3 linked regions of the Arabidopsis thaliana genome follow. The protein of the gene in region 3 interacts with the protein of the main gene of each other region in a pairwise test. Each region holds a gene or a part of one and is shown on either strand. Other genes may lie near its edges. The genes, in order: AT5G15060, AT5G66940 and NAC071.

Evidence for each region.
Region 1: the proteins of NAC071 (region 3) and AT5G15060 interact in a two-hybrid assay, tested with the Arabidopsis thaliana proteins (one large-scale study listed by BioGRID).
Region 2: the proteins of NAC071 (region 3) and AT5G66940 interact in a two-hybrid assay, tested with the Arabidopsis thaliana proteins (one large-scale study listed by BioGRID).

The regions. Positions count from the first base shown.
Region 1 is NC_003076.8:4,873,709-4,877,943, reverse strand, and holds AT5G15060 (Lateral organ boundaries (LOB) domain family protein), read left to right. Parts: upstream 1-1,994; 5' UTR 1,995-2,137; coding exon 2,138-2,563; 3' UTR 2,564-2,916; intron 2,917-3,363; 3' UTR 3,364-3,612; downstream 3,613-4,235. Other genes in the region: AT5G15070 (Phosphoglycerate mutase-like family protein), read right to left, coding at 19-82, 165-248, 432-478, 746-805, 978-1,046.
Region 2 is NC_003076.8:26,727,304-26,730,703, reverse strand, and holds AT5G66940 (Dof-type zinc finger DNA-binding family protein), read left to right. Parts: upstream 1-1,988; 5' UTR 1,989-2,037; coding exon 2,038-2,715; 3' UTR 2,716-2,885; downstream 2,886-3,400. Other genes in the region: AT5G66930 (meiotically up-regulated protein), read right to left, coding at 3,155-3,230, 3,380-3,400.
Region 3 is NC_003075.7:9,978,199-9,982,337, reverse strand, and holds NAC071 (NAC domain containing protein 71), read left to right. Parts: upstream 1-1,782; 5' UTR 1,783-2,299; coding exon 2,300-2,456; intron 2,457-2,546; coding exon 2,547-2,836; intron 2,837-2,939; coding exon 2,940-3,164; intron 3,165-3,254; coding exon 3,255-3,461; coding exon of another isoform or gene 3,462-3,488; 3' UTR 3,489-3,635; downstream 3,636-4,139. UniProt on the Arabidopsis thaliana protein: Transcription factor involved in tissue reunion of wounded inflorescence stems. Required for the division of pith cells in the reunion process, which is dependent on polar-transported auxin and the wound-inducible hormones ethylene and jasmonate.

The sequences.
Region 1 (4,235 bases), on a different chromosome or scaffold from region 3:
GCAATGTAAAATAGTTACCTCATACACTTTCCGGCGGTCATGAAGAAGATATTGGGGATCGAGTTCATTCACTAAAAAGGGCCTGAATATAGAAGTTTGAACTCAAAAGCCAAACTCAATTTATTTACTGAACAATCAACAAAGGTTAAAAAGGTAGAACTCACTTTCTTAAAGAAGAATATGCTTGAACTTTCTCAAGAGGATATCCAGAGGAATAGAAAGCAATCAAACAATCACAAATCGGCCAACTGAAACAGTAAAGGGAGTAAAGTCCCTGGTGAATTTGTGGTCCAAGAATATAATGGTACTTGATAATCATTAACTACACTCTCTCCATATAATCTAATAGAGAGAATTGGTACAAATCCATGAATTAAATAGGATAAAACCAAAAGTAAAAACGATATTCATAAATTTGTTTAGAGACGTACCTTTCTACTGGGTCTTCAAGTATGACCTTGTCCCCAAAATGTATAATCTAATAAAGTGGTAACAATGGGTCCATGAGATCACAAATAAAAAGGAAAAAAGAAGAGAATACACTATAGAGAATCCACAGAGACAGACACAAACAACTTGTAAAAATTACCCCAGGAAAACATCTTCCAATAAAATTGAAATCACAAATTAGAACTAAGTCTTTTCAAGAGACATTTTTATTCTCCAGGTGAAAAATCACCAAATGAAAAACCTGAGAAACATCAAATCCTCAATCATGAGAAAAATCGAGAAAGTGAAAAACTACCTCAAATTCGCCAAACGCATGTATCCTGTCCATAATTTGTCCCATGGGAGCTGAAAAAACCTAGAAAATCCACACACACGAACAATCTCAATAAGCGAGACATCAGAGTGAAATTGAAAACCTCACCGGAGTAACAACAGATTCAACGAAACTATCGCAATCTGTTCGTCAGAGCAAGAAAACGCGATAATAAAAGCACGAAAGGAAACAAAACCTCGGGGCCGCATTTCACCTTCTTTTCCATGACGCAGACTCCAATCGTTATCTTCTTATCAACACCAGCTCCTTCTTCCACCCCCATTTTCGCTCTCTCCTCCCGATACGAACCTCTTTCCGTTTCGTTCCTCGAACGACGTTCTCTCGTTCTCCGTCTGAAATCAGAGATTCACAAAACACAACGAAAAATTCGTTCAGAGAGAACAGAGACTAAATCGCTTGGGTTTGGAACAATCTCGGAATCATGGCCGCAACTAAGATAGGATCATAAATAGAAGAAACAGGTAGTGCATAACATGAGAGAGCAATGCGAGATCTCGCAGAGAAAAAGTCGAGGAGAAACGTTACTGGGGAAAATGATGATCACAAGCAGAGAGAGCAATAGCTAGAGATAGTGCGCTGATGGCACGAGGAAAGAGAGAGAGCCAGAAGATTCAGGCGTCAGAGGCGTTGCTTTGAATCAGAATTACAAAAAAAAAATGATTACCATTATATATAGATTTTGCTTGGTTTATTAAAATCATGGTCATTAATAATTTAATTAACCACCGACCGACAACTATACAAAACTCAAGTGAATTTTTAAAAAATAAGTGGATACATGATAATATTTACGGTGTTCTTTTTAGGAAGTTCTAAAATTGTGATTATTCTTGTGTATCCACAATTAAATATCACAATGTAATTATACACTAGTAAATTCACAATGCCTAATGAGAAGGTCAATAGAACGCGTTTTAAATTTTCAAGTAATCGAAATGGTCCATGTGTGTAGCCTATCAAATATATTGTTATCCAATCAAATGACTGAAAGAGCAAATGTTGAAGAAATATTGTCTGTTGGTTAAAGCCAAATTCTAAAATATTGTTGACTCATGGTTCGTCCACTAATTAGTTAAACAAAACGACTTGAAGTGGGGTTTATAATCTGGAAAAAAAAAACAGAATTAAACCGAGCTATAACGACATTTGTTATTAGAGAAGCTTTTTAATTCTTTATAATTATCAAATCTATCTCTTATAATTCTTCTTGCTTCACTCTGTTCTCTATAAATACTCGTTTCAATCTTTCTTTTTTCCCACTCTACAGAAAAAAAAAACTATAACAAAATCGGCGACGATGCCTAACAAACTCATTTTCTTCTTGATTCTCACATCAGATCAGTCATCATCTTGATGACATTGCAAGGCTCTTCCGGCGTAAATAACGGCGGTTATGTCAACCAATGCGCCGCTTGCAGGCACCAACGCCGTCGTTGCACACCGGACTGTTTCTTTCGTCCTTACTTTCCGGCGGAGCGACATCAAGAGTTCCAAAACTTTCATCGTCTACATTCCAATACCCGTCTCCAAAAAAAGCTCAAAGAATTAGGATTGTCTCCGGAGGAACAAAGAGAAGCAATGAGCTCGATCATATACGAATCCAACATACGCTCTCAATTCCCCGGCCCGTCGGTGGCTGTCACGAATACATTTTCCATCTTCGAACCCAAATCGCACTCGTCACCGCTGAACTACGTCGCACCCGTGATCAAATCACCGCCGCTTTCTTCAATCCCACCGCCGCCAGCTTCTTTAATTCCGCCGCTAACAACTTCTTAGATCCCTCCTCCGCCGTAAATCCTTTTCGAAACCTCACCGCAAACAACGACGATGGCACGATCGAATTCTTGAGCGGCGGAGGGTATTGTGGTAATTTCGTACACGAGGAGTGTGTGACTGAGACTAGGCCGTTAATCTTGGTTCGAATCTTTTTTTTTTTTTTTTTGGTAAAAGGTTGGTTCGAATCTTTCCCATGCAAATGCCAACGAAAATGACGTTAATCTTGAAGCGTTGGAACAAGAACAACTAGGTGGTGCTCCTCGTAACAACGATATCGAGAGAGTGTTTCGTGAATTCTTTACTGATGAGGAAATTATGTCTCTCTTGGAAGCTCAAGTTTCCCGCCACAAGTGGTACGTTTTCCGATTTCCTCATTTCATTACTTGCACTATTTAATTTTATGATTTTTTTTAGGATCAAAAACTGTTACATTATATGATTAAAACTACGCATAACTTTAAATATTTAATACAATGGCATAAACAAAAATATCTCCTTGTTTATTCTTGATTCCGTGTTTATGTCGTTCTATAACTTGAAAGAACTTTTTTTTTTTCACAGTTGGTAGTGCTTGCCAAAGTTTTTTTAATGTAGTAGTTAACATTTATTTGATTAGTTATGACTTTAGTGACTAGTCTAAAGATTAATAGACCGTATACTATATAGTATACATTTAAAGGAAGAATACGTGGGACCAATAAGCTATGCTTTTGGCCTAAAATGGCTTACGCATTTTATTATTATTTATAATTACACGATACCATCCTACTAATGCTGTTTCTTTTGTTTTTAATTAACAGTGCATATCAATCTATGACCAAGGATGATGACTTCCCATTTCCGTAGATCTTTCCACTTTGGGGATGAACTAGTCTCGATAGAGAAGAATATCTTTTGTACTTACTCTCTCTTTTTTTTTTCGTCGTACTTACTCTCTCGTAAAAATTCTTTTACTACTCTACATTCTCTTGTAGGCTTTTCTCCCATTTTCAATATGTAGATAACAAAAAAAAAAATTACTATACGAAAAGTAAAATACAGTTTAGACTTTCTGGATTCGTTTTAACATTATAGACTTTAAATAGGTCTGTACATTATTATCGAGAGAAAAAAAATCGGTTCAGTGTGTAACGCTAATTACTTGCACAAATTAAGAAAATCAATCTCTTAGTTTGGGTCTTTGGGAATTAATCATGTAAAGGCCGATAGAGGCCTTTGGTTTGTTCGACATTTTGACTCATCCATCCCCTTTAGTTGATATTTTGTATGTGGGCTTAAAGTGTTTCAATTCGGGCTTTCATAGATTTAAAGCCCATTAATCCTTGCGTGTTTAAGGGATTAGCATTACAGTGCTGATTAGTCAGCCTAATAGTCTGACAAAAGTCATTCAACAGTCAATAACTTAAAATGGGAAAGAATAAACTTGGAAGACCAGTTAAATGCTCTTCATTAATTTAAACCCTTTCCATACTACTCCTAAAAAAGTGTATCGTTTCTTAAGCAACCATTATATACTTACTAAAAAGAATTAGAAGATTTGAAATGACCATTTACTATTATTCAAACAATATATTTTCTTCAGAAATAGAAACTTTGACTGGGATAAAATGTACTTAAACTATCAGATAAATAACACATGATACTGTATAATGAATATTAAATCATTGTCAAA
Region 2 (3,400 bases), on a different chromosome or scaffold from region 3:
TGACCATGCATCAATAAAGTTATTTTCAGCTTTGAATATATTTTTCATAATGGGATGTTTGGTGAAACATGCACAAACACAACATAAAAGCCATATAATTAGGGACTTATAATAAAGAACGATTATTGCATGTTTTCTTTACACTGTCATGTCACATTGCATATCATTTTAATCAAATCACATCACAGTATCAATACCTATATATCTAGAAGAACTATATCAAATTATCAACTATCGTTTGATTAGTTAGCAAGAAAGAGAGAGGATAATTTAGCCCAACAATGTTGTTTTTTCCACGTAAGTTTGTAGTTGATTTCATTTGGGTCATAACAAAATCCGCCCATATATGGTTTCGTTTCATAGACTCGGCTTGGGGTTTGTTTAGCAGGGTGTCAGATTCACATCTAAAATACAACAGTCACAAATCTCTTATGTTAAGGCCCATGGTCCAAGGGGTATACATATTAGGCCCATTAGAAATACGGACCAGAAGGTAAATGACGAAAACACCCTTTCAAAAGGAAACAGAGAAGGACTGAGACTCAGAGAGGAAAAGGACAAAAAGAATGGGATAAAGAGAGAAGGTGTGTCAGAATTTGACCAGATTAGACCGGTCGGTACACAGAGTAAGGACGGCTCTGAACCAGTGTAGACACGTCTTGGCACATACTTCTCACATGTCTCTCTCCAAAATGTTGGATGCTTTTTGGTGTGAAAGGGAGTGAAGATTTGCATGCTTCTTAACTCCTAGCTTCTCCGTATCCATTCTTTACCCGACAACCTTCGCTTCTGTCTCTTCACAAAACGAATCTCTTCTGTCTCTTTTGACTGTTTTTAGCCTCCCCAATTTTACAATTACTACCCTCTCTTCTTTCCTGTGGAACAAATCACATTTGTCACACTCTCTCTCTCTACCTTAAAGATCCATTTGTCTTGTTCCTCAAGATCATGTTAAGTCAGAATTCACCCGACTATTGTTATTCTGTCTTCATGGTATTGTCTAGATTTTTACTTTTTATAGCTCCTAAACAACATAAGATTTATAATCTATTATTACACCGTAATGATAAAACAAATTGAAAACATTGTCTTAATCTTGATGCATGCTGAGAGATAAGATAAGACCATAACAAAACTTAAAATTGATAATCAAGTTGGTTTAACGTAAAACTGTTGAGTACTTTTACTTGATGTTTTAAATGTAGTTTTTTTGAGGACCTGAACGCATTGATTCTGCATTTATACTGGTATTCTATTAAGGACCTGTAGTGATTGGTAGCACATCTACACACACCATCAATCTCTTAGGTCCATATACCATTTAATCCTTCTTTTTTTGGAAAAGATGCACACAACAAATTAGGCTAATGAGCCCTCCTAAACACTTAACAATATAATGGCTGTATTATTGGGAACTGCTTTACATCGATAAGCTCAATAGTCTCTACTACATGTAGCCTACTCTCTTCACAGTTCAGTCTTCACTTCCCGTAGACACGTACTTTTGACATAAAATTTAATGTATTTCTTAAAACAAATATTGCATGTAGAAACCTTTTTTAACTTTTAACTCAGAAATTCGACGTGTATAACACCATAATTAAAATTAAAATTTCAAAAGCATTGTTAGTCAGCAAATGTAATCATATGATTTTTCTTTCACTTATTTATCATAAGTTATTTTCAATTTTGGTTTCTTCCAACATTCACTAATGTCTATGCCATCAAAACGTGTGACAGATTATGGATGGAGAGATTAGAGAATCGTGGTTTTATTTCAAAACAGAAAATCTTGAAAGAAGAGCCACCAGCTACGTATAATGAAGTAAAGAAACAGAGCATATCTATTCTCTCTCTATGTTCACAATAAACCCAACATACTCTGTCAAAAAGCTTCACTTTCTTCTCCTTCCCCATCTCTCTCTCTCTCCCTCTCCTCCATAAAAGGAAACTCTTACTCTATCACAAAGTTCCAACCTTTAACTCTCCAAAGCTTCAAAAACTCTCAACTTTCAGATAACCTCTCTTCTCAACAACATGCCTTCTGAATTCAGTGAATCTCGTCGGGTTCCTAAGATTCCCCACGGCCAAGGAGGATCTGTTGCGATTCCGACGGATCAACAAGAGCAGCTTTCTTGTCCTCGCTGTGAATCAACCAACACCAAGTTCTGTTACTACAACAACTACAACTTCTCACAACCTCGTCATTTCTGCAAGTCTTGTCGCCGTTACTGGACTCATGGAGGTACTCTCCGTGACATTCCCGTCGGTGGTGTTTCCCGTAAAAGCTCAAAACGTTCCCGGACTTATTCCTCTGCCGCTACCACCTCCGTTGTCGGAAGCCGGAACTTTCCCTTACAAGCTACGCCTGTTCTTTTCCCTCAGTCGTCTTCCAACGGCGGTATCACGACGGCGAAGGGAAGTGCTTCGTCGTTCTATGGCGGTTTCAGCTCTTTGATCAACTACAACGCCGCCGTGAGCAGAAATGGGCCTGGTGGCGGGTTTAATGGGCCAGATGCTTTTGGTCTTGGGCTTGGTCACGGGTCGTATTATGAGGACGTCAGATATGGGCAAGGAATAACGGTCTGGCCGTTTTCAAGTGGCGCTACTGATGCTGCAACTACTACAAGCCACATTGCTCAAATACCCGCCACGTGGCAGTTTGAAGGTCAAGAGAGCAAAGTCGGGTTCGTGTCTGGAGACTACGTAGCGTGATAGAGACTATCGGATCAGCTTCTACTTCATCGGAGGGTTTCAATCTATCTTCTTCTTCTTTTAGCTTCTCTACCCTAACTTTCAGTTTTAGTTGATCTGGTTCTTATTTAGTTAGGTTACTTGTGAACGAAACTTCAAATCAGAGAAACGTTTGTTTGTTTGTTTGTTTTTTTGGCTCTATTTAATGTCAATTCCAACTTTAGAAATCTTGGAAAACAGAACAGTCCACGTTGTTTAGGAAATGCAAGTCTGAAATTTATATACAACACATCACTTATATACAACAAAGCATAGATAAGGTAACATTATCCATCGACGAGGAGAGGGTAACATATAATATATTTACACAGAAAATGTAACTAGGAAAGTGTTGATTGGAGTTAGGCTGCACCAAGAAACATCAAAGTGTATATGTACTAAGTTAAGTGGAAAATGGAATTTAGCCGAGCATTGATGGATGGCCACTGTGTAGTATCCTCTTGAACATATCCATCCCAAAGGCAGAGTCCGATGAGCTGAAACAAAACTTAACTCATTTCAACACTTGTACAACAAAGATATAAAGAACATTCTTCACTCATCTATGTCTGTGGGGATCGCTACACCTAAAGACTAAGATCTCTAGAACACAGTTTGATATGTGAATAAATGAAGACTGATGTACCTTGGGATAGTGATCTCAAAA
Region 3 (4,139 bases):
GGAGGAACATTGTTACACCCCCTTCAAAATAGTCAAGAAAAAGTTTAGAATATTGAACGAAAGGAAAAATAAAAGAATTAGCTAGGACCGAGTTTCTATGACCTAGAACTAAAACTCCCGTTACATACTTATATCAAAGAAACGAGCTAGAAAAAACATTAGAGAAATGTAAAATATATCTCTCTCTTTTTGGTTAACCAAGGTTTACTAATCCGATATACAAGAATGACATGCAAATAAACATAGGGTTAAGTTGTAAAGTAGTCAGATATTTAAACTTAATTATGGAATTGGGCAAATTACTATTTATAATTGGATTTTTAGTCACTAACCTTTGACCCTATTACAGACAAAATCAAATATACCCCATACCAACTCTATTATTTACAAATATGCCACTAATCTTCTTCTTCTCCAATGTCGTTGAAAGCAATTGGGATTTGTGCTTTTAGATTCAACATTTCTCTCTCCTCATACTCACATTCTTTGTATTTCTTTATATATATATATATATATATATATATATATATATATATATATATATATATTTATTTATTTTTTAATAACCTCTTCAATCTAATAATTGAAATGCTTATCAATGTAAATTTATTTTCTAAATTAATTCAGATACATAAAAATCTATATTTTTTCTCTATAATTTGATATGCATTTTGTTAATAATTTTAAATATATTATATAAACATTTTTATTAGTAGTCAGTACAGTTAATTATGTGTACAGATTTTTATTTATACAACTTATTTAATAAGTACAAATTGAAATCGTCCAGCCATAATTGGAAAAATAGTCATTTTACTATTCACAATTTGCAAAGTAGTCACTTTTAACTGTTTGATTCGTACACTTAGATCTGTACAACATTTTTTAGTGTACAGATGTAAGTGTACGTTGTGTATATTTATATATATATATATACACTAAAAATATTGTACAGGTCTAAGTGTACGAATCAACAGTGAAAAGTGACTACTGATAATTGTATACTCCATACAATTATATACTCTGTACAGCTAATGCAACGTACAAAATAAAGTCTGTACACATAATTAAGTGTACCGACTACTGATAAAATGTCTGTAATATATTAAAAATATTAACAAAATGCATATCAAATTATAAAGAAAAATACATAGATTTTTATGTATATGAATTAGTTTAGAAAATAAATTTATATTGATAAGTATTTCAATTATTAAATTGGAGGGGTTATTAAAAAGAAATAAAAAAAAAAAGAATATTTCACTTTTATCTTTCTTCTCTGTCAAAAGGATAGTTCGGTAATTTCAAAACACATCACTTACCCCACCCCAAACTTCTATTTCACGCTCGTCTATTACACGCCCAAAGTGAGTTACATGTTTTGTCAAGTGTAAATAGTAACTTGCCCAACTCCATAATTATGTTTTCAAAAGTGACTAATTTGCCAACACACCTATAAACATATCGTTTTACAAAACGAAACGACGTCTTATGAAATTAAAAAATAGAAAAATAAGTTTTGATTAATTATAGGTGATAGTATTATTGAATCATTGATGTGTGAAGTGTGAACAAGTCTAACTTTAGAGACCAGGTAGGTCCACTTTCTTTTTGAATTTTGGGAACTCTTAAGACAAGCAATGTCTTTATCCGCTTTCGGTGTGTCGAGTTATTTTTTCTTCTGAATATTAACGGCACTGACTATTATAATACTGTTTGTTTATTCTACAGAAAAATTCATCAACATATTTTAAGCTATGATTAAATTTGCCTCACAAAGTTTCGCAACCTTTGTGCTATAAATATCATTCACCCCACAACCATTCAACACTCTACCAACCTTCTCTTCTTCTCTCCGATCTTAATCACTCTCCTAATCAATACTCACTAATAACTTTTTTTTTTTTTTGGTCTTGTATAGCTAATAAGTCAGAGAACCCTTTTCCTCAGTCAGACTCTTTGACCCGCAGCAATTAGCTCTTCCACCAACTGCTCTTCGTTATTTCTGAATTGTACCTTAAGTTTGTTTCTATTTTTTTTCTTAGGTGTTAGATATATTTTTAAAAAGAGAATTTTGGATAATTCGTTTTTTTTTTTGTAAACATACAATCTCTTTCAGACAATGATATTGTCACAAAAAGGATGCAATCAAAGTGAGTTGCAACTTATTTTCAAAAACAAATTGAATGTCGAAAAAAGTTTATATTTTTAGATTTTCCAAATAGTCAATAGATATTTAGTTAAATATTAGCTTTCGACAACTCTCTTGTGTCGCAAGCTACAAGTGTGAATTTTGCAAATGGGGAGTTCATGTTTGCCTCCAGGATTTAGATTTCATCCAACTGATGAAGAGCTCATAGGCTACTACTTGAGTAGAAAAATAGAAGGTCTCGAGATTGAGCTTGAAGTCATTCCTGTTATCGACTTATACAAATTTGATCCTTGGGAGTTGCCAGGTAATTTGAAAAGGAAAACAATTAGATTTTTATCCATAAATTTATATTTAAATAAAACTAAATTTGTTTGATTTTATCTTTGAATTTTAGGTAAATCTTTCCTTCCAAATAGAGATTTGGAATGGTTCTTTTTCTGTCCAAGAGACAAAAAATATGCAAACGGTTCTCGAACCAATAGGGCTACAAAAGCGGGTTATTGGAAAGCAACTGGTAAAGACCGGAAAATCACTTGTAAATCATCGCATGTTATAGCTGGATACCGAAAAACCTTAGTTTTCTATGAAGGTCGTGCCCCATTAGGCGACAGAACTAATTGGTTTATGCATGAATATCGTCTATGCGATATTGATGATCATTCACAAAAATCACCAAATTTCAAGGTAAGAAAATTAGAGTTCGTTTCATTTGATCCAACTTCATAATATTCATTTTTATGAACTAATGGAACGAAGCCTAAAAACCATATATATGTTTGAATTTTAGGGAGCTTTTGCGTTATGTCGCGTAGTTAAGAAGAATGAACTGAAGAAAAATTCGAAAAGTTTGAAAAATAAAAACGAACAAGACATTGGTTCTTGTTACTCTAGCCTCGCGACCTCTCCTTGTCGCGATGAAGCGTCGCAGATTCAATCGTTCAAGCCTTCTTCTACTACAAACGACTCTTCAAGCATTTGGATTTCTCCTGATTTCATCCTTGATTCGTCAAAGGTACCTACATCTATTATCTAAACCAAAATAGTTTTTGTATAGACAGTAGTGGTCTGATATGTGTTTTTGGTTTTGTGATTTTAAATATAGGATTATCCTCAGATTAAGGAGGTTGCTTCTGAGTGCTTTCCCAACTACCATTTTCCGGTCACCACGGCAAACCACCACGTGGAATTTCCGGTGAGCTCTTGTTATTTCAATGTGGACCAGGACATTGATCAGTCGATGCAAACCGGTTATTGGACAAATTATGAAAATGACCAAACCGGTTCATTTGACTACTCAAACCTTTTTTAGCTACAAGAAATGTTGGTTCGTTCTTAGGACAAAAACGCCTTTTAACGTTGGTGTCTTGGAACTTGGAAGAAGAAGAAGAACTAGTTGTGAACGTCTATCATTTTCTTTTGAGAATTTAATTATCTTACTCTTGGTTTTTATTTTAGTTTTATATATATTGTTTGCTAATATAAGGAATGAGTATAATAAATTCCTTATTTAAAGTTTTTTCGTATGAAGATTTACGTTATTATAGAGTCTTATTTTAATGTTCCGATACCTTTGATATGATATATGCAAAGAGAATCAATCATGTTCTTCTCAATCATTAATTGGACCAAACTTATATTATATAAAGCAACTTATGTAGAAGTCATAACAATCATTTGCATTAAAAATCCAATATTTTGTCTATAAAAGCAATAGTTTCGGGACCATTTTGACATTTCAAAAGTTTATGTAAACAAAATTCCATAAATATGCAGAGATTAAAATCAAAAACTATGTGACGCAGCAATTTGTTTACAGATGTATGAAAATCCCAAAAGCTTGCATTTCTCAATTGTTAGAGACCTTTCAAACAAAATTCTTTTTTCCATGAGCTTTCTACATTTCATTCTTTTAAAATTTATAAGAATATTTCTTCCTCTTGAAAATGATCTACGAAATACTTTTGATATATAGTCTATATGATTTACA